Linked DNA regions of Drosophila melanogaster. The gene in region 1 interacts genetically with each later gene. Each region holds a gene or a part of one and is shown in the gene's direction. Other genes may lie near its edges.

Region 1 (5,367 bases):
ACTTGGTAGTGGTTCCGCTTTTGGGTGGCGCCACGTTGCCATTTAATATCTGCTCCTGCACCTGCGTCTGGGCGGAGAAGAAAAAGAGGTCCAGCAGGTGGACATTCTGCATAAGAACCACGCACAGCTGGTTCAGCAGGATCACCAGGCGCTTCTCGAGATCGGGCGGAAAGATCTCGCCCTGGCTGGATGCCAGTATCTTGAGCAGGGGTCGCAGGAAGGGCTCGTGGCAGAGCAGCTGGTGGCGCGAGTGGCTGACGAGCAGTTCGTACAGCTTCAGCTGCTCCAGCCTCACAGCGTTGGCATACCGTCCCGTGGTGCAGGCCCACTCGTACAGCTTGTCCAGCAGATTCTCGCTGAGCAGGAATTCCAGGCAGGGCGCCGCAGGCGGACCACTAGCCTCGGCCGCCGGCAGCGAGACTTTGTTGCAGTGATGCAGCTCCACGAGCAGCAGGGTGACCATGTAGTCCAAGTGCGAGACCACGCCCAGCACGTCGTCGTGCGAGGGCGGTGCACTGTGCTGGATGATCTCGAAGGCCTGCTGCCAGTGCTTACAGAAGCTGTCGTAGCAAGCGCGCGGATCGCAGTCTGTGGCAGCGTCGATGGGTCGCTGTCGCAGTGGGCCGACGTGTCCGACGGAGGCAACGCCTCCACCGCTGCTCTGGCGCAGCCACATCGTTGTCGGTGCGGTGTGTGTGCGATTCGGTGGCTTTTAGTGGCGCTGGTCCGCTGATAACTGCTCCGTGTGCGTTTCGTTTGGCATGAATTGGTGGTGCTGGTGCTCTGTTATCTCTCGTTTTGTGCTTTTGTCCGACTGTGTGAGTGGTGAGTATTTCAATGTTGCTCGCTTTTTAAATATTTAGAAGCTAAAAGAAGACGCACTTTAGTTGAATATTCGCTATTTACTTTTCTCTAATGTTCCCAAGAACAACAAGTGACACACTTACGCACACAGCCACACACACACCTGTGTACGTGTGCCCACCTATTTGGGCACTCACTGTGGTTGTTGTTGCTGCTGCTGCTCGCTCACCTGATGAATTTAGATTTGATCATCGTCATCGTCTCCGCTGCTTTCCGCTCTCCGTGCATCGTGCATCTACACCCATTACTGTTTAGTGGCCCTTCTTAGATGGGTTTTCACGCTTGCAGCATTTGCAGCGTTTTTTTTTTTGGCACTTTGGCAATTACAATTACAAATACAATTAAGTGGTAGTACCAACACTTCCGCAGATTTGCGGACTAGATTTGCGTTCTTGCAGCACGAAATTCGCGCTTTTGGCGCGGGTTTTGAAGTCAAGAAAGGGAAGGCAGTCCGGCCCGCACTTTATTGCCTCATTTTGCACTATTTTCGTAGTGTTTCCAAAGCAATTCTGCGTAAATATTTACAATTATATCTGCACGGAAATAGAAAGTTAGCGATGAGCAGCTATCAATATAACATATCGATGTTTCGATTATACCTGAGATACATCGGGAATTTTTGACATCGGGGTGTAGCAATTCCATTTTAGTTTTATTTTTATCTAATTATCTATTCACTTTTAAAACAGCGTGCTATGATCACAAGTATTAGTTTGATTAAATGCGTTCTGTTTCATTATCCCAGCGTTCCACTTACCAGTATTTCTTATCGCCTGTGTGACCAGACTTCCGCGCTTCTATCAGCTGTTCGCGCTACCGCCATTTGAATTTAATGAAATGGTAAATACAAAAATTTGATTTATTTAATTCCATTTCCCTAATCATTTATTCCTAAAGCGGCGCAGTCTGGCTCCCAGCCAACGTGGACCACTGCGTCCCGAGTCCCGTCACTCCTTCACGCCGCCACTGCTGAAGAAAAACAAGCGATCCTGCCAGCAGGAACTGGAGCGAGAGCAAGAACTGGACAGAAGACGACTGGGCGCCCTCCGAGATGCCAGCAACACATCAGAGCTCCCACTGCCTATTCGCTTCACGGCGAACAGCGAGTATGAGTTGGCCATTGCCAAGGTTCTGGCACGGAAGTTCAAGGTGCCCATGGACAATTACGTACCGGATTACGGTGGTAAACGGGTCCTGGGCGTGCGGCGCTGCATTTCCCGACGACCCCTACACGATCCGATGGCCTGCAACGCCTTGGTACTCTTCCATCCACCCGCCTACACAGAACACGAGCGCATGGGCATGGATCCGACCAAGGTTCTGGTGCACGTCGTCGTCGATCCGCTGCTGAGCAACATATTGCGGCCGCACCAGCGCGAGGGAGTGCGTTTCATGTACGAGTGTGTGGAGGGAAAGCGGGGCAACTTCAATGGATGCATCATGGCCGACGAAATGGGTCTCGGGAAGACGCTGCAGTGCGTAACGCTGGTCTGGACACTTCTAAGGCAGGGGCCCGAGTGCAAGCCGACGATCAACAAAGCCATTGTCGTGTCTCCATCATCGCTGGTTAAGAACTGGGAGAAGGAGTTTACCAAGTGGCTTCACGGTCGACTCCTTTGCCTGCCCATGGAGGGCGGGACCAAGGAGAACACCATCCGAGCACTCGAGCAGTTCTCCATGACTTCTGCCCGGCTGGGGACACCTGTTCTGCTCATCAGCTACGAGACATTTCGCATCTACGCGGAGATCCTGTGCAAGTACGAGGTGGGAATGGTGATATGCGACGAGGGACATCGCCTCAAGAACAGCGACAATCTGACGTATCAGGCTCTCATGGGACTGAAGACAAAGCGACGGGTCTTGCTTTCCGGCACTCCCATCCAGAACGATCTTACTGAGTACTACAGCCTGGTGAACTTTGTAAACCCGGAGATGCTGGGAACGGCGGCCGTGTTTAAGCGCAACTTCGAGAGCGCTATTCTGCGGGGCCAGAATACTGACTCCACGGAACAGGAGCGACAACGGGCCATAGAGAAGACACAGGAGCTGATAGGTCTGGTCGATCAGTGCATCATTCGTCGCACTAATCAAATTCTAACCAAATATCTGCCGGTTAAGTTTGAAATGGTTATCTGTGCGAAACTGACGGCGATTCAACTCGAGCTATACACGAATTTCTTGAAGTCTGATCAAGTTCGACGTAGTTTGGCGGGTAAGTCATTAGGCAATACTACCACAACATTCCTACCATTTACAATTCCCTTCAAGATTGCAATGAAAAGGCTTCGCTTACGGCGCTGGCAGACATTACAACGCTTAAGAAGATTTGCAGTCATCCGGATCTCATATATGAGAAGCTCACTGCGCGGGAAAAGGGATTCGAAAACTCCCAAAATGTGCTGCCTAGTAATTACAAACCAAAGTACGTCGCCTGTTGCGCGCGAATAGCAATGGCTATTAATGAATCTTTTGTGTTCCAGGGATCTCAATCCAGAGCTAAGTGGCAAGTTCATGCTCCTGGATTTCATGCTGGCAGCAATACGTGCAGAGGGCAACGACAAGGTGGTTCTCATTTCCAATTACACACAGACCCTGGACTTGTTCGAGCAGCTCGCGAGGAAGCGAAAGTACGGATTTGTCCGGCTTGATGGCACCATGTCCATCAAGAAGCGATCGAAGGTTGTTGACCGATTCAATGACCCGGAGTCTGACAGCTTCCTTTTCATGCTGAGCAGCAAGGCTGGCGGCTGCGGCTTGAATTTGATTGGAGCCAACCGCCTGTTCATGTTTGACCCAGACTGGAATCCGGCCAACGATGAGCAGGCAATGGCCAGAGTGTGGCGTGACGGGCAAAAGAAGCCCTGTTACATATATCGCCTCGTTGCCGTGAGTACCTGAATTGGTTCTGCACGGAACTTTCTTTTTCAACTCAAGAAATCTCTTTCAGAGTGGTTCCATCGAGGAGAAGATCCTGCAGCGACAGACGCACAAAAAATCCCTGTCGAGCACCATCATTGACAACAACGAGTCGGCCGAGAAGCATTTCACCCGCGACGATCTGAAGGACTTGTTTACATTTGATGCGAACATTCTGTCCGACACACACGACAAGTAAGAACTGGCTTTGGATACCCTTTAGATCATGATCGTGTAACATATCTTTTCAGGCTCAAGTGTAAGCGCTGCGTTCAAAATATACAAATGAAGCCACCGCCCGAGGACACGGACTGCACCTCGCATTTGTCACAATGGTACCATTGCTCCAACAACAGAGGCCTGCCTGACAATATTCTCGCCCAGGCCTGGATGGATTGCAAGTGCGTGTCCTTTGTCTTCCACCACCGATCGCAGGCTCAGGAAATTGTGCCGAGTGCTGAGGAGGAAGCAACAGATCAGCCAGAGGAAAAACCAGAAAGCCGCAAACGATCATCCACGCCCGCCAGTGATGACAGTGCCGATGAGGACTTCCGTGGATTCTAGCAATTGTTTGCAGTTTATTGTTTCTCGAATTTCCTTTTTCTTCGCACTTAAGTCTAAACTTAAGATAACTTTTTCTGGCTTCCTTTGCAATCCTAACAAGTTATTAATTTAACATTTCAAAAATGGAACCAGCACAAAATGTTAACGTGCTAGGGGTGAAGGCTTCTATAAACTAATCTGGCAATGTAGGAGTCAGTCCAGAAAATAGTTTACTTTTTTGTGAAATACTGATCAATTTCTATACTCTTAACTGGCCGCCAATCGGGCAAAGTAGTAGGTTAACATAGCTTAGGACAAATACAAGCAAACATCGAAATTCGGATTCTAGTGTGTATTCACTTGCTTAAGCGCAAAGTTATTTAAGTTGGTTACTTAAAATCAACAGCCATCTCCGCTAGCACGTTATTCTCTGCACATAAAAAGCAATTTGGCGTATAGCAACGTCCGGATTAAAACCCTGTCAGATACAGATTAATATTATGCGTGTGTATATGTATAAGTATTAAACCATTCGCAGTGTTAACACAGTCAATTGAACACTTGATGTATTCGGGTCTATACATCAATAATTTTATGCTCCAGCTCCACCCAGACGTTGCTCTTCTCCGGCGCCTTGAGGAGCGGCTGTTGCTGCAGCTCGGCCAAAAACCCACCGATGGCCTGATAGTACCTAAAAAGCAAGCACACCCATGGATAAATGGGAAAGTGAAGATTAATTGCCGGCCATACCCGTCCACTATCCAAGTGTCGTTGTGCGATCCGCCGGGGAATTCGAGCAGGCGCTTTATCTCGCTGCCGCATTTGGTATACAAGGCACGCATCATGCGCGGTGGCACTAAGTTGTCCGCAAGGCCCGAAATAAACAAAAAGGGAACCGAACACTTGCCTATCTTGCTCATGGAGTGATACTGCATGTGAAACAACAAACAATAATGTGGTAATGAGATAAAGTAAACAGAGGGCTCAACCGGCGACGACTACCCACCTTATTCTTAAATAATAGATTTGGTATATACTTCACAG
Region 2 (5,561 bases), on another chromosome or scaffold:
AAAAAAAACTGTATAGAACACACACACACAAACATATGCAGGGACTGACAGACTACTTTACATACTGACGAAATCATTGCGGTTACTTTCGAAAATTACAATTTTCCAAGATTGGGCATCTTCTGCCGGCGGGAAACTGCCGATCATGCCACCATGTTTTTATGTAATTCCGTTTATTGAGTTTTTCCACTACAATTAGCCTAGGCAAACGGAAACTCGCGCCTTTACACACACACACGCACATGCTAGCACACACACACGTGCAACTGTATGCGCCACTATATTCAGTTATTTACACAATCTCATTTATTGTATTCCACATGTCTCGATCAATTCTGCAGTAAAAATCAGTTATATGTGCTTTGTGTCCTATCTATATTCGCCCAGATTCCAGCGAAAGGGCAGTGGAAAAAGGTTTTCAGCGCGAAAGTAATCGTACTCACTAACACATGCAAGCAAGAACACACCGACAGCAGGCAGGCAGCACGCAAGAATTTGTAAATTGCTTAAAAATTAAGTAGTATTTTTTTTCATTATACGCACAATTCGGCCGTTCCGAAAAATTGCCCGTAGCACAATTGGCAAATATTTTTTGCAAACACAATGGCGTGACTCGCACTGTAGGAATTACGGTTTTCGCTTCACGGACTTTTTTCCTCATTTATTTTTTTCATCGCTTAGACTGCTCTGCTACGCTTTTGGCAAAACGACGTGTATCGAAGCTGTACTCGTTTCTGTGCCAGACCAAAGTGCGCTGTCGCCCAGCTGGTTGTCTCGCTCTTGCACGTGCGCCGCCTATGGCGGTGGCGCGGCCCACTGTTGTGTGTGCGAGCGAGATGACCAGTGTCTATGGCAGGGAGCTGCAAACTATCGGCTGTGATAGCAATATATCGAGTAGATACTGGAGTGGTGCGCACTTTCGACTAGCGACTATCGATTCTCGGAATAATTTTCCGCCTTGTTTTAAATAATTTATTATTTATTTATTGTTGTACTTCAGTACTGGGTTCAGTTTTGCGAAACGTAATATTTCTTATGTTCATACTATCGAATGTTATCGACTCAGTCGATAGCAATGCAGATATGCCTGCTTACGCAAGTTGCAGCCCTGGTAATTTATTTAGACTTTGTTTCGGAATTGGATGGACAACGAAAGAGCTAATAATTCGTTTTTAATGTTTTATGTCAAAGGAAGTGAACGTATAGTCCTCGATTTCCTGGATTTGCGAAAATTCAGCCTTTGAGACCTTAGCGTTGGGAATTCGGTTGTTCTCCAGCCAATGTTTCCTTCAAATTAGTGGGCGATGGTTAAATGATTGAATTAGTGGAGTGCAGCGGTACCTACATTTCCATTAAATTCATCATAGGAGCCTCCAGTTGTCCCTTGACGGTCCCATCCCGGGTATTCATGCACCAGCCCCTAACTCCCAATCTTTTAGCCTCATGCGACGTGTGCTAAGCCAAAAATGTACATAAGTTAAATGTTGATTTCCAGATATATATATAGGCCTCCCAGTACTTACTTTGCGGAAGAACACACCTGCAAAATTTAATACGCTGTTTAACAAGCCGAATCAGAAAAATGCATTGCATACCTTGCACTCGTCCAAAGATCTCGAAATCGAGGGCAAATATCTGCTTGGCAACTCCAGATCCCGCCATTATGTAGTCGTGATCAGATTTCTGATGCCACTTAGATTCCTTGCAGCACTCAAATTTCTAAATAGAGCTAGCAAAAACTGAATGTTGACAACCAAAATAGAATTATTATTAAATTGTAACATAGTTATCGTAGCCAGGGCGACAACGCAAAACCAGGGGCGTTCAGTAGAAAATACCGTGAGGTCAGTATTTAGACAGTACACACACCTCTTGTGAACAACAATATACTGTAGGTCATCAAGCTCATCTCTAGCTAATGTTTACCGTTGCTTTTCAACGCAGGACGCACTTGGTAAAAGTTTAGGTAAACTAAACAAAACGTTTGTAATGTACAATATATATTTATTTCTTTTATAAATTAGTTGCGCTAATACAACTGCTTAGCTGGCAAAATGACGGGCGCCAAGAAAAGATCGGGAGCACCGTTAGTGGATGCAGCTCACTCGAAAGCCCCAAAACCAGGTACAGTTGCCCAAGAAAAAAACAGCCAAATTCCAACTGTTTGGAAAAAGGATCATGTAAAAACTCAACTTTTCGAAAGATCAAACGAAAAGCCATCCAAAAAAAGAACTCCGCTAGTGGCTCCTAGAGTTCAGCAATCAAAAATTGAAGCGCAAACTTCTCAGGCTGTGGAAAAAACACAGGAAGACCAAACTTTTGCAGCCACCATAGACAGTTCAACAAAAAGTCTAAAAAAGTCTCCCAAAAACGAGGGAGAATTATGGGCAGATATTCAGAAGCTGTCGCCCCACACGGGAATAATAATTCATAGCTTCATAAAGCAGTACAACGAATCGCTAAATAATCTCAAGAAGAAAGACTTGGTGGTCAGCAAGAAAATGAGAGCCATCGCCATGGACTCGCTGAAGAAAAAATCGGAAAATATCAGCTTGAAGGAAAAGTAAGACCTTCCTTCTTCAATACAGTTCCTGCCTGCAGTGAGCTTATTCTTTCAGGTTGACAAATATGGAACTGGAGCTGACCCAACTGAAAACTGATCTTATCGAGCAGCAGGAGAAGAACGCAGAGAACATCCAGAAGTACACGGAAATCAACAAAAAGTACACCCACTGCGAGCAACATTACGACAAGGAGCTGGAAATCATTAAAGTATGTGTTGAGAAGAAAAATTCAGAGCTCCGAGATGCTCAATCCCGGATGGCCCTGCAGGCGCAAGAGGTGAGTTTACTATATTTTAAAATATATAGATATAAATTTATATATATCTACATGTGTATCTCACTTTGCAGCTGAATAATATGCAGCAAACGAATCGTGAGTTAGCTGGAGCCTGCGAGAATTATAAAAAGGATTTGGAAGAAGCAGAAGTGGCCAAATCTATGATTCTACATGAACTTACCGATCTCAAAGAGCTCCACGAAGACCTACAGCTTCAATTTGAAGATGTGTCTGCACAAAAGGAAAAGTTTGAGGTGGGTTACACTGGCTTTCCTTGTATTAGATTATAACATTATGTTCTCCACAGGCAAACATTTTACAATTAAGCAGCGACTTAAATGCAAAGATGCTTGACTGCGCCCAGCTTGAAGATCGCATTGAGCAGCTGCCAATAGAGGCCAACAAAGCTTTGTCGAAACTGCAACGTGATTTAGAAGCCAGTGAATTGCAGTTCGTGGATCAGCAACGATTGACTGATCAGGCAACGAGGGAACTCGAACTTGTTCGCAATGAGATAAATACGTTTAAGACTCTTATTGAGGAAAAGGAAAGAAGACATGTTTCCCTAAGTGATGAACTAACTCAAATGACGGAGAGATTGAGCGAGCTCGCTGATATCAACGAAAGTTATATCAATGAGTTGACTGAAACAAAATTGAAGCACTCCCAGGAAATAAAAGATCAAGCAGATGCCTACGAGGTTGGTCTGAAAAATACTAAATTCATATTTTATTGTATCTTGATTATTTATTCTCCTTGACAGATTGTTGTTCAAGAGTTAAAAGAGAGCTTGAACAAGGCTTCAGTTGATTTTACTCAGCTAAAAAGCAACAGTGAGAAGCTACACAAAGAAACCCTTCTGCAGGTCTCCGAACTGCAGGAAAAACTTATAGAAATGGTGTCCCATCGCAGCAATCAGGAAGAGCTAATAAAGCGTCTTGGTAATGAAATTCAAGAAAAAACTCATAATTTTGAAGAAGAACTCAAAAGGCAACAGGAGCAGCTTGCTAATCAAATGCAGATGAAGGCCACTGAAGTTGAGAGCGAAAATAAGCGAAACGCTGTTGAAATACAAAAACTTAAATCTGAACTCGAAGAAAGGAATAAAGCTTTTAAGGCTCAACAGGATAAATTGGAATATTTGATTAGTGATCATGATACGCTAAAGAGCGCTATTATCAATCTTCAGGCTGAAAAGAAGGAAATCGAGAGTGAATTATCCACGGCCAAAGTTAAATTTAGCGAGGAATTACAGTCTCAGAAAGATAACCTAATGGTAAGACTTATAAATTCTTTTTCATTAACCTTTTTTCTACAAAATGATTTATTATTTTTATATAGAAAAAGGTATCCGAATTGGAGCTTGAAATTAAAAGAAAAGAAACCGAATTGATTGAACTTGAGCGTGAAAAGAACGTAAGTCTATCGGACTCATTATATTTCATGTTATATATTTAAAATTGCCCAACAGAATGAAATGGCTGTGCTACAATTTAAAATGAATCGAATTAACTGCCTGATCGACCAACCAGTGACCACAATTAAACAGCTAAAAGATTCCAAAGGGCCAACCAGAACTGAGAGCATTCCTACTAAGGTGCAACCGGAAAATACAGACGAATTTTCAAGCACTGCCAGAAAGCGTAATGCTCGTCGTCAAAAAATTACCACATATTCCTCCGACTTTGATAGCGGCGATGATATACCAGTGAGTATTTGTTAATTGCACCTATAATCGAAATTAAATTATTGAACTTTTATTACAGATCGTGGGCAACTCTTTAAGCGGCAAACGTGCCAAATTATGTGCGCCCATCAAGCCACAAAATAATATTGATATGTTCGACATGTTGAAGAATTCTAAATAACTAAGCAGTACAACGAACATACAGACAACATTATCAATTCTTACACTTTGTTTTTAGTAAAATGGAAGAATATTGAGCTTAGAAATTCATTCAGATCCATCATCATTTAAACATCTGTACTTCTTTGAAAACTTGTCTGAAACTGGCAAGCTATTTTTAAGAACATGATTACTTTATGTTATTTAATCCCATTTTGTATCTAATTGTTAAATTAAAACTCATATCTTGAAGTATCTTGTTCAAATAGATCCAATCTATTTGATTATAGTTTTTGTAATAAAAACATTACATGTACTTTGTTGAAACACTTTAATTAATAACACACTTTTGTCCTCATTTCTTTAAAGGACACCAAACAGATTTTGAAATCATACCAAAAGTAAAAACTGGTAAAAACAAAACGTAAAATGATCGATACTAAACTATGTTTTGATGATATTTATCAGGCGGTCGACGTCAGCAGCATTCACGACTCCGTCCGCCTTAATTCCAGATTCCTCCATTGCCTTCCTGGTGCCACTGCCCACGGCTATCAGCTTGCGATCCTTAAGCGAAACGTTGTAGTTCCCAAAGAACTCCAAGGAGCTGCGGACACTGGAGGGTCCGAAGAACACAATCGTTTCCATTCGCTTGAATTTGAGGGCGTGCCGCATCTGATTGACGAAATCCGGATGCGACCGACTCTCGTACACTTCGCAGGCATCCACCCGGAATCCCTGGGCGACCAAACGGAGGCGCAGTGTCTGACCCACGCCATTGCCGCAGGGCATGAGCAGTGGCAGATCCCTCTTGGGTCCAAACGTCTCCACGATCAGATCGCACAGATTGTTTGCATTCACGGCATGATCGCCC
Region 3 (3,951 bases), on another chromosome or scaffold:
GCACCTCGCCAATCGAGATGTCCTTCTCGGATTTGATGCTCATTTTGCTGCCAGCCGAATCACTGTTACCCCGCCGTACCTTAAGTGGATTGCCGCGGTCAGTTGTCTTGGAGGTACTCGATTCTACAGCCACCGAGGCCGTCGATGTAGCTGACCTGCGGGGATTCACTCTCCGCTTGGTGGCATTCCGCGCATGGATGGACGCGCGAACGCTTTTTGAGGGAACGAACTCCTCTTCGGTTGAGTTCAGATCGACTTCCGCATCATCCTCGTGGGCACTTTCGGTCAACTGATCATGCTCGACCTGGTCCAGGTATTCGATTTCGGCAGATAACTCGGACAGGGCTTGATCGGCCATCTCGTGGTCATAGCCCTGATCTGGGATGAGGTCGCCCTCGTACGTCTCATACACGTCATAAACCTCCTCGATTATGCCGTCCTCCTCCACCTGCTCGTTCTTCACGTGCACAATCCGATCCTTTTCCAGCTCAACGAGGATACCATCCTCAATCTCGTCATGGAAGACACCACCCTGCGTTTCGGCGGCATCGTCCGCCTCGGCATAGTGGCTCTCGTCCAGGTCCACATCCTCGTCTTCCTCGTCATGCTCTGGCTCCTGCTCCGCCTCATCGGGATCGACATCCGGCTCCAGCTTGGTGGCTGTCTCTGAGCCCTTTTTCTCCGGTGGTCGCTGCTCCACCTCTACGGGTCCAACGAACTGGCGCAGATGGCCGTACGATCTTTGGCAGGTCTCTCGAAACTTAAATGCCATTTTCAGCACCTTGAAGCACTTCTCGCATATCTTGTCCGGATAGTGATCGAACTGTTTGATCTGCCAAGGAAATTGCATTGTTATATGGTTCGGGGTCCAATGGGACAAACTTACGGGCACTCCGCCGCACTCGCGAATCATGTGGGTCAGATCCTTTTCCGAATCGTCGTTGAAAATGCTGGCCATGGGCTCCTTGGGCTGCTGCAGGCAAACCCGGCAAACGATCCACTTCTGCGTGCTCGTTGCCGCTGCCGCCGGACTCGCATGTGCTGCCGAGTCTCTCATTGTCGCGAATAGGAGATGGATCTCTTCCAGGAGGCTACTTACCCTCCGCTATAATATTTATAATAACACGCTCGCTGGACGAAGACGACGCCAAAAAAATAGATTGTAGTCTGGAGCGAAGTGCACGCGTTGCAATGCGAATGTCGCCACACAGGGTGACCACAGTCGACGCTAAGGGTATTCCATTCGCTACTTCAAATATTAAATATATAATTAAGAATACGAATGCATTTTGTGGGCAGTTAAATAAATCAGTAAAATTGGAATTCAAGTGTTTTACAATTTAAATATATAAAAGCTTGATTAAGCAGTTTAATACAATATTATATGTCAAGCTCATGTAAAGTTCCATCGTTCCATAAGACAGTGTGGTCATTACTGTACTGAAACAAAACTACTTTGATAGAATAGTGCTTTTCCTTTTTATTATATAAACGAACTTAAAACCATTTTCCTTCAATATTTGTAAATTGAAAATAAAATTAATAAAATGACGCGCATTTTTATATTATTTTCTACCAAAAAAAAATTATTTAAAACATTTGTTTGGTAAAAAGTGCACATACAGCTATGTACCCTGTACGCTCCATGTAGTCGTTCATAACGTGCATTCACCGTATCAACTTTGGCGGGCGCGTTTCGCTGTGAATGGCCAGTGGCCGTGGACGCTTAAATTCAGCTGTTTGAATCTTCTGCAACAACCGAAGTGATTGTTTTATCGAATTAGCCATGAAAACTGAGTCCAACGAGAAGTGGGTGGTGTGCCGCGTTTGCCTGAACAATCCCAGCGAGGGCGAGGAGCTGCTCCACGACATATTCAGCGAAACGGCAAGCACGCGACTGGACCAAATGCTGCACATTTGCGCAGGCATTCCAGTAAGTGTGAATCCTGCTTGGTTTGCCCATTTTAAATTATTCCAACCCAAACAGGTCAGCCTAGATGACAACTTCCCGGACAAGATGTGCAGCAAGTGCGTGCGCTGCCTGCGGCTCTGCTACAAGTTCCGTCTGACATGCCAGCGATCCCATCAGCACATTATGGACATGCTGGACCGGGAGGCCAGCAATGCTAACGCCGCCGGCGAAGGGGATTTGCTTAGCATCGCGGAGGACCTTTCGGTGGAGAGCGTACTGAAGTCGTGGGAGGACTACGCCAGTCAGCTGGATGGCGGCATGAAAGTGGAGGGCGAGGAGGATCAGCAACATCAGGTTATCACCTATGTCGTGGAGGATGGTGATACTGATGATACCAATATGTTCGATGTGCACGATCCCACGCAGCCGGTGCCAAATGAGATCGAGGAGGCTGAAACCTATGCTGAATACGAGGAATACGAACTGCTCACCAACGAAAACTCGCCGGAAATCGCACAGGAAAAAGGCTCCACCGGCACAGATGTTGCCACAGAGGAGCCGCCCGAAGAAGAAATTGCTGAAGACATACTCGACTCTGACGAAGATTATGACCCAACTCATGCTAAGCCGGAAAAATGCGACCGATCGGGCAGGAAGCCAGTTGCATACCACAAGAATAGCCCAAAAGTGGAAACCTTCAAAAAGAAGGTGGGCAGAAAGCCGCGCAACAAGCTGAGCACATACATCTGCGATGTGTGCGGAAATATCTATCCGACTCAGGCGCGTCTCACCGAGCACATGAAATTCCATTCTGGTGTTAAACCACACGAGTGCGAGTAGGTTTAAAAGTTGAAAGTAAATAGTAACTATGGCTAATAGGATGTTATTATAGGATCTGCGGAAGAGGCTTTGTGCAGAATCAACAGCTGGTACGGCACATGAACACTCACACGGGGAACCGACCATACAAGTGCAACTACTGTCCAGCTGCCTTCGCCGATCGATCCACGAAAACCAAACATCATAGGTGAGAAATATTCGAAACAGTTGAAAGTAAATTAAACTGACATTATTTCTCTCCAGAATTCACACTAAGGAGCGTCCCTACGTGTGCGACGTTTGCTCCAGAACGTTTACCTACTCGGACAACCTGAAGTTCCACAAGATGATTCACACGGGGGAGAAGCCGCATGTGTAAGCATCAACATATTTTACTACTTCATTATCCTGCAATAATAGCTATTCTCTTTCAGCTGTGATCTTTGTGGCAAAGGATTTGTGAAGGCCTACAAATTGCGTTTGCATCGGGAAACGCATAATAGACGTATCACCTGGAGAAATGACGCAGAAGAGAGCACCAAAGCAGAAGATGTCAAGGGGGAAACGCCGGAGTTTCTCAATGAACTCCCCAAAGAGTGACATGTTCTTTTTAGTTCTTATGCAAAGTTTAGTCTAAGTATTTAGTAAGCCGTTGTTTAAGTTCTTCCATTAAGCAAATAAATGTACACAGGATATATTTTTTTGTACAATTTGTTTTTTACTTCTTATAAAAAATTAAATAAGGAAAAATGACAAATTTTAATGGCGGTGCCCTATGGCTTAGAACTTATCCATTAATATATTGTACAATTTTCAACGAGAAACTTATTTAATTTGCACCTCAATGTTTCCTCTTAGTCACTGCAATCATTTCACCTCTTTCGTCCTTTTGTGTGACTTTTCGTGGCTGTTTTTGTGGTGCAGCTGGGAGAAGGACTTCTGGCAGTACTGGCAGCTAAATGGTCGTTCACCGGTATGGGTTTTCAGATGAACCCGGAGGACGTTGGAGTAGCCAAAGGACCTGCTGCAGAACTCGCATTTGTACGGTCGTTCGTTGGTGTGGATCCTAAAGTGTATTTAACGTTAGAAACTTCCGTGGATGTCTTAAGATTTAGATTTGAAGTAACTTTTATCAAGACTTGTTAACAATTAATTGACATTAAAGCTGATTAACAGAAATATATCTCTTTTATTCTAGTTATGACAGCCCTATATGTTTT
Region 4 (5,638 bases), on another chromosome or scaffold:
AGCGCCGACTGTGGGTTCTCGTAGGCGACGAAACCGAAACGCCGGGAGCGCCCCTCCTCGTCCAGCATGAGCTGCAAGGATCGGAGAAAGCAAATCGATGATATAAACAAATTAGCACAGATGGGCCAGGTGGAGTCCTCATCTTCCCCGCCGTCACAAACTCCTCGTGGCTACATGGGCATGCGCAGCAATGGCGCAAGAGAGGACTTAAGAGAGTGCAAAACTGTGCCACATGGTTGTCGTCCAACCACCCGGCCCCACGAACATCCCCGTAGGGAAGATGAGGTGACCAAACAACGTACCTTGTGACTGGTGATGCGGCCGTAGGGCTCGAACATCTCGCGCAAATGCTGCTCGGTGAACTCCTCGCTGAGGTTCTTCACATACAGATTCTTGAAGTGCGTGGCCTTCTCCTGCTCCCGGTCCCGCCGTGGTATGAACTTGACCACATGCACCTTCTGATTATTGCACAGCATCCCATTCACCTTCTCGATGGCCGCTCGGGCGGCCTCCTCCGAATCGAAATGCACAAACCCATAGCCGCGTGAATTGCCATCCTCGTCTTTGGCCACATTGCAGTTTAGGATGTTTCCGAACACCGAGAACGTGTCGTACACCGCCTTGTTGTCGATGGACCGCTCCAGGTTCTTGATATAGATCTTGCCACTGTCCGGAGAGCTGTTGCCTCCGCTGCCCCCAGTGGAGCCGCTAGCCAGAGCTCCCCCGCCGACTCCCACGCCCACATTGGCCGAGTGCGAGGACGTGGACGTGTGCCCGCTGCCCAGGGAGTTGTGGCCATGCCGTCCGAGAACAGCGGCGGCCGCCAGGTGGTTACTGGCTGCGTGCCCACCGCCGACGTGGCTCAGGTGACCAGCTGCAGCGGCGTGGTGGTGCAGCTGCTGCTGGTGGTGCGCCGCTGCCAGCGTGTGGTGGTTCAGGGCCGGCTGCTGCTGGTGGTAGTTCGCCGGATTGCCGCGGAACGTCATGGAGTTGACGAACATAATGGCTGCTGGCTGTTTGTGGAGCGTGGTGGCGGCTAGTGGAGTGCTGTAGGTGCTGTAGGTGGATTCTGCGTCCTGGTGGCCGTGGCTCTGGATCTGGATACCGCTGTAGATGGGCCCGAGAATCTTGACGGCGTTCTTGTCCTGGTCCTAGTATTTCACTTCACTTCCCGATTTACCTGGGATGTCGGGAATCTGCGTTATGGCCAATCTAGTCGTAATCCAGCGGAATGCCCACTTACCAGGATTTGCACACGGAATATGACCAAGGATTCGCGGAGTTGAAAAAATCGTTTTTCTCTCGCACAGACTCTTTTCAACGCTCTTCGCTCTCTCTTTCTTTACCTCTCTGGCTCTTCCTTTCGCTCTTTTGTACTTTACTTTTTCTGGGGGCTTTCACTTTTGGGCTGATTCTTTGGGGCTCTGCTGGGCTTTCGCGTAACACTTTCCGGTATTGTTTTCGAGTGGCACCTAAACTAGACTCTTCAGCAATTGCAGCAGTGTAAAACCTGGTTTTTGCAGCTTCGGCGATGGCCCTTTATTATTTAATTGTATTTTATGCAAAAACTGTCGCTACTAGTGATTAGTGATGTTAAAAAACATCGATGCATCTGCCATCGATACGTGAGGCCTTCATGTTCTTGGCCATACCATCGATGACTTTCTCGCTCCCGATTGCTTAGCAAGTCCACCCTCCACAGTTAGCGGATAATGGCCATCAAAGCAACGCTTACCAACACTGCACCCCTTGTTTTGGAAATGCAACCACAAAAGCATTGGACACTTGCTTACTTCAAATAAAACACATTTAAACAATTAGATGACGTGATGGACCAGAATGGCGCATCGGGAAGTCATCCGAACAGGCTATCCCAAGGAAGAGGAGCCCATGCGCGCGAACGTGGCGCCACAGTTTCCGCGGCGGCAAATCGGAGTAACATTATCGACGAAATGGCCAAAATATGCGAAGCCGATCGCCAGACTTTCGCCATCGCTCGACGGACTCGGGGTCACGAGCGGCTTGCGGTGGACAACAGCGACTTCGTCGCCGTGGAGGATCTTATTTTGTCCTACGCAGAGCCCACGCCCGAGGACCAGGTCGAGATGATCATGAGCGACTTTTGCTCGTCTCCAACATACGCAGAGGATGAGGATGAGCCCAGCCATGAGTCGGAGCCGTGGTTTCGATTTCGCAACAAAAGGATCAGAACCTACAGCCGGAAGAGGGATCCCAAAAGCCACAAGGCCGTTCAAAACGAGAAGCGTAGAGGTTCCTCAGGCCTCTCCGTGCAGAGGGATCTCAATACTTCGTTCACATCTATGGCTTGTGATTTCGATGCTTCATCACAGAAGATACACGAGGTCCTTTTGAACCTCAGTCAATACTTTTCCGCGACCGCGACAGCTTCCGGTCCGACTCCTGTCCCATCGCAAATAGATCTGCCAACCGAAGCAAGGCAGGATTCTGGTGACGAGTGTTTCAACGCTGAATTGGAGAACTTGAGGGATGACCTGTTGCAGAGCGGATTTACATTTGAGGCCTCTTTCTATGAAAATGAGCATGAGCAGGAAGGTAGGGAGTGGGATCGATATGGCAAGAAACACATTTGTAACTCCTTTTATATGTACGTAGGTCCAGGAACTATGGCAGACACTATTTATGGCGATAGCATGCAATCGGTTCCCACTACGCGCCTCCGATTGGGTAATTCATATGCAATTTATGTTGTTGCGAAGTTCATTAATATAAACCCTTATTTATAGAAAGTGGAAAACGTAATGTTTGGTCTGATGCAGACTCTACATTGAAAAAAGCTGATGTCGAAATTGCTGAAAATAAGAAACTTTTGATGGGCCAAACGCAAGCAAAAAATGTTGACATAGAGGAGAACACAAACTTCATATTAGAAGGCATACCACTAAGTGAATGGCTAACTCCGATGGAACTGCCCGAGATCTCCAAAGATGTAATCAAACATATACCCGATAAAAAGTTAAAGTTGGAGCCAAGTTCCCAGAAAGAACAAAAAAGTAGCAAAGATTCAAATGCATCAAAGGTTAGAGGAGCCTCAAAACAATCTTGTGATATTAACACGAAAAACGAAGGAACTACTATTCTGGATCAGCCTAATGCTGCAGAGCAAGAAAACCTATTGAACGACGGCGAGCTTCTTGAGGAGTTTCTTTTTAATGATTGGCAACCAATGCAGTGCTCTAATGGCCCATCAACCTCCAAAAACGCAATTCAAGGGCCTAAAGAAAACATCAATTCAATAAATCTGGACGACAAGGAGCAACCAGAAAAGCAGACTCCTAATAAAAGTCAGACCATAAGCAGTCATCAACTTAATGGCATTCGAAAGAAGTCCTTCAAATTTATCGAGGTTTCGGAAGAAATGAAAATTAAAGGCGAAGAGTTTGTAGACAAAGTTGTATCCGGCCTATATCACTTTAGTCACAAGTGCAACTTACGTACTGAGGAATACTCCGATAATCATAGTCAAGTAATGGAATCAACACAGTGTGCGGAATTCAAATCAGCCCCAAGCAAGCCCATCGAAATATTGGATGGTAAGGAAACCTACAATGCAATAGCTAAAGTTGACGTTGGAGAAATAAATGGAAAATTCAGTCCTCTCAATAACGATACTATAGCAGAGCCCGAGTTTTGTGGCTTTCGCACAGCCTCAAATAAGGCAATTCCGATTTCTGAGAAGATGAAAATCAAAACTGCAGAGTTTATGGCTGAGTTTCAATCCAAAGAAACAATTCAACAAAATGATTATTTAGTCCATCAGCCAAATGACAAACCGACGTCTGTTGGACTTGATACAGCCTTAAAAAGATCAATAGAGAGTTCAGAGGAAATGCGATCGAAAGCTTCCAAGTTGGTGGTCGTTGATACTACAATGCGGGAACCGCATCAACCCACACTTGACCCAGTTTGCCGTGACTTAAATGAATCACAGTTTTTCGGCTTTAGAACAGCGTCAAACAAAGCCATTGAGATTACCGAGGCGATGGAGAAGAGAGGAGCCATGTTTCTGGCCCAGTCTAAAGCTACAGACCAATTAAACGGGTGGCAGCCAAGCGATTTTCCTGATGTTCTACCCACCTCTCCAAACAATGAGATTCATTCAATAAATGTTGAAAATAATAAGGCTGTGAATACTAAAACCGTATCTGAGACCGAATTCTTCGGCTTTCGTACCGCTTCAAATAAAGGAATTGTGATTTCGGAAAATACGAAAATCAAAGTTGCACAGTTCATGAGTGAATTTCAAGCCGCCGATGCAAGCACTGACTCGAACCAACCAACTGTGATCTCTGAGGAATCGAGAAATATTGATGCCAAGTTCGTAGATGAAGCGGCGGCAGAAGACAGTGCCAACAAGCCAACTTTTTGCAATGTACAAAGTCTAAAAAATACCTCAGATATTGAGCATTTCAAACACGACTTCTTCGTGGAGCATTCTGCAAAGGAAGAGCATCCGCTGTGTAGCCAGCCATTGGTGAGGACACCCAGAAGGTCGCAGGAGATCCACTCCTCACTATCGCAACTTGCCGGCAAATCACCACTGGACCAGGCCACCAAGAAGTCCGTAATAGCTCGCCGGAACCTCCTGTCACTAAAAAGAAAGCGAAAGATCATTTTGTCAACTGAAACTTCCACTTCCTGCGCCTTACCCACTATGGAGCGATTCGCTCCCAAGCCTTCCTCGACAAGTACTCCGCTGGCCGACAGGGACTTAAATCGCTCCAAGGACTGTACAAAGAATAGACAGGATGCGGAGGACATGTCCCCTATTTGCATGCAACCCAAAAAGAGTCGAAGACTTGGTCTGAGTCGAAGTCGCTATTAGTACACATTAAGTAAGCGTTGCTTTATACCCAAAATATTTAAACCGCTGGCCGATTTGAAATGGGTAGAGATTTAGTTGAATTAATTAAGGTATGCCATTAGTGGTCTCATCATGACAGATTGAATAATTGTATAAGTTATCATAATAAGCGTTTTTTGTTAAGTGCACCTTATAAGGAAATAAACGATCCGATAAGGGCCACCCGCTAACCAACTTCCTTAAAGGTGCCCACTTACGAGTTCCGCGAAAAAAACGAGAAGAGACGAAATCAGTCCCACAGTTCACAAAACAAATGCGAAAAAGTAGTAGTCCAGGTCGAATGCCTTAGCCGGCGGCTCATCATCGCGCATCAAGGTATAGATTCCCTGATGGATGAGCTCCCGGAAAGTGTCCGCCTTCATTTTGATGCTGATCCCGTGCTCCTGCAGGCGCCTCATGAACTCACTGGTCATCGCCAAGTACGGCAGACTGTTGGACACGCAGTAGGATTCGAGGGTAAAACCCACGGCCTGGCGAATCATGTTGAAGCGCGGCGTCTTCAGCAGGTACTGCTGCATCAGGATCAGCTCCAGGCGGTCCTCGTACAATATGTATATGTAGCTCTGATTGAGCCCATCCCGGTACGCCTTTAGCAGGGTGGCGTTCAAGCTCAAGCTGTTCCTGCGGAGCCGTTCGGGCAGGAAGGTTTTCGCCTTCATCTGACTTCTGTAGTACTCGTCGTGCAGACTGGGGTAGGGAGCCCTGGCCAGATCCTCCAGAGTGTTGTACTCCTCG

What was found.
Region 2: of okr (region 1) and c(3)G, changing one suppresses a phenotype caused by changing the other (phenotypic suppression), as found in Drosophila melanogaster (one study listed by BioGRID).
Region 3: of okr (region 1) and trem, changing one suppresses a phenotype caused by changing the other (phenotypic suppression), as found in Drosophila melanogaster (one study listed by BioGRID).
Region 4: of okr (region 1) and Brca2, changing one suppresses a phenotype caused by changing the other (phenotypic suppression), as found in Drosophila melanogaster (one study listed by BioGRID).

What each region holds. Positions count from the first base shown.
Region 1 is NT_033779.5:2,989,044-2,994,410, reverse strand, and holds okr (okra), read left to right. Parts: upstream 1-1,651; 5' UTR 1,652-1,701; coding exon 1,702-1,704; intron 1,705-1,761; coding exon 1,762-3,076; intron 3,077-3,132; coding exon 3,133-3,286; intron 3,287-3,344; coding exon 3,345-3,750; intron 3,751-3,811; coding exon 3,812-3,975; intron 3,976-4,031; coding exon 4,032-4,344; 3' UTR 4,345-4,817; downstream 4,818-5,367. Other genes in the region: CG3558 (uncharacterized protein), read right to left, coding at 3-676; Bem46, read right to left, coding at 4,900-5,014, 5,074-5,252, 5,330-5,367.
Region 2 is NT_033777.3:15,788,936-15,794,496, reverse strand, and holds c(3)G (crossover suppressor on 3 of gowen), read left to right. Parts: upstream 1-1,917; 5' UTR 1,918-1,966; intron 1,967-2,024; 5' UTR 2,025-2,054; coding exon 2,055-2,563; intron 2,564-2,618; coding exon 2,619-2,841; intron 2,842-2,912; coding exon 2,913-3,095; intron 3,096-3,148; coding exon 3,149-3,541; intron 3,542-3,604; coding exon 3,605-4,117; intron 4,118-4,182; coding exon 4,183-4,257; intron 4,258-4,312; coding exon 4,313-4,549; intron 4,550-4,607; coding exon 4,608-4,709; 3' UTR 4,710-5,024; downstream 5,025-5,561. Other genes in the region: Acyp2 (acylphosphatase 2), read right to left, coding at 1,173-1,287, 1,346-1,455, 1,524-1,540, 1,596-1,662; Uros2 (uroporphyrinogen III synthase 2), read right to left, coding at 5,132-5,561.
Region 3 is NT_033777.3:20,029,046-20,032,996, reverse strand, and holds trem (trade embargo), read left to right. Parts: upstream 1-1,687; 5' UTR 1,688-1,786; coding exon 1,787-1,933; intron 1,934-1,987; coding exon 1,988-2,748; intron 2,749-2,804; coding exon 2,805-2,939; intron 2,940-2,995; coding exon 2,996-3,106; intron 3,107-3,165; coding exon 3,166-3,331; 3' UTR 3,332-3,437; downstream 3,438-3,951. Other genes in the region: idc (identity crisis), read right to left, coding at 1-832, 887-1,057; CG4854 (uncharacterized protein), read right to left, coding at 3,599-3,797.
Region 4 is NT_033778.4:24,524,472-24,530,109, forward strand, and holds Brca2 (BRCA2, DNA repair associated), read left to right. Parts: upstream 1-1,700; 5' UTR 1,701-1,829; coding exon 1,830-2,574; intron 2,575-2,634; coding exon 2,635-2,706; intron 2,707-2,765; coding exon 2,766-4,864; 3' UTR 4,865-5,082; downstream 5,083-5,638. Other genes in the region: CG4612 (uncharacterized protein), read right to left, coding at 1-71, 303-1,001. UniProt on the Drosophila melanogaster protein: Involved in and required for double-strand break repair by meiotic and mitotic homologous recombination. During meiosis, has a dual role in the repair of meiotic double-stranded breaks and the efficient activation of the meiotic recombination checkpoint.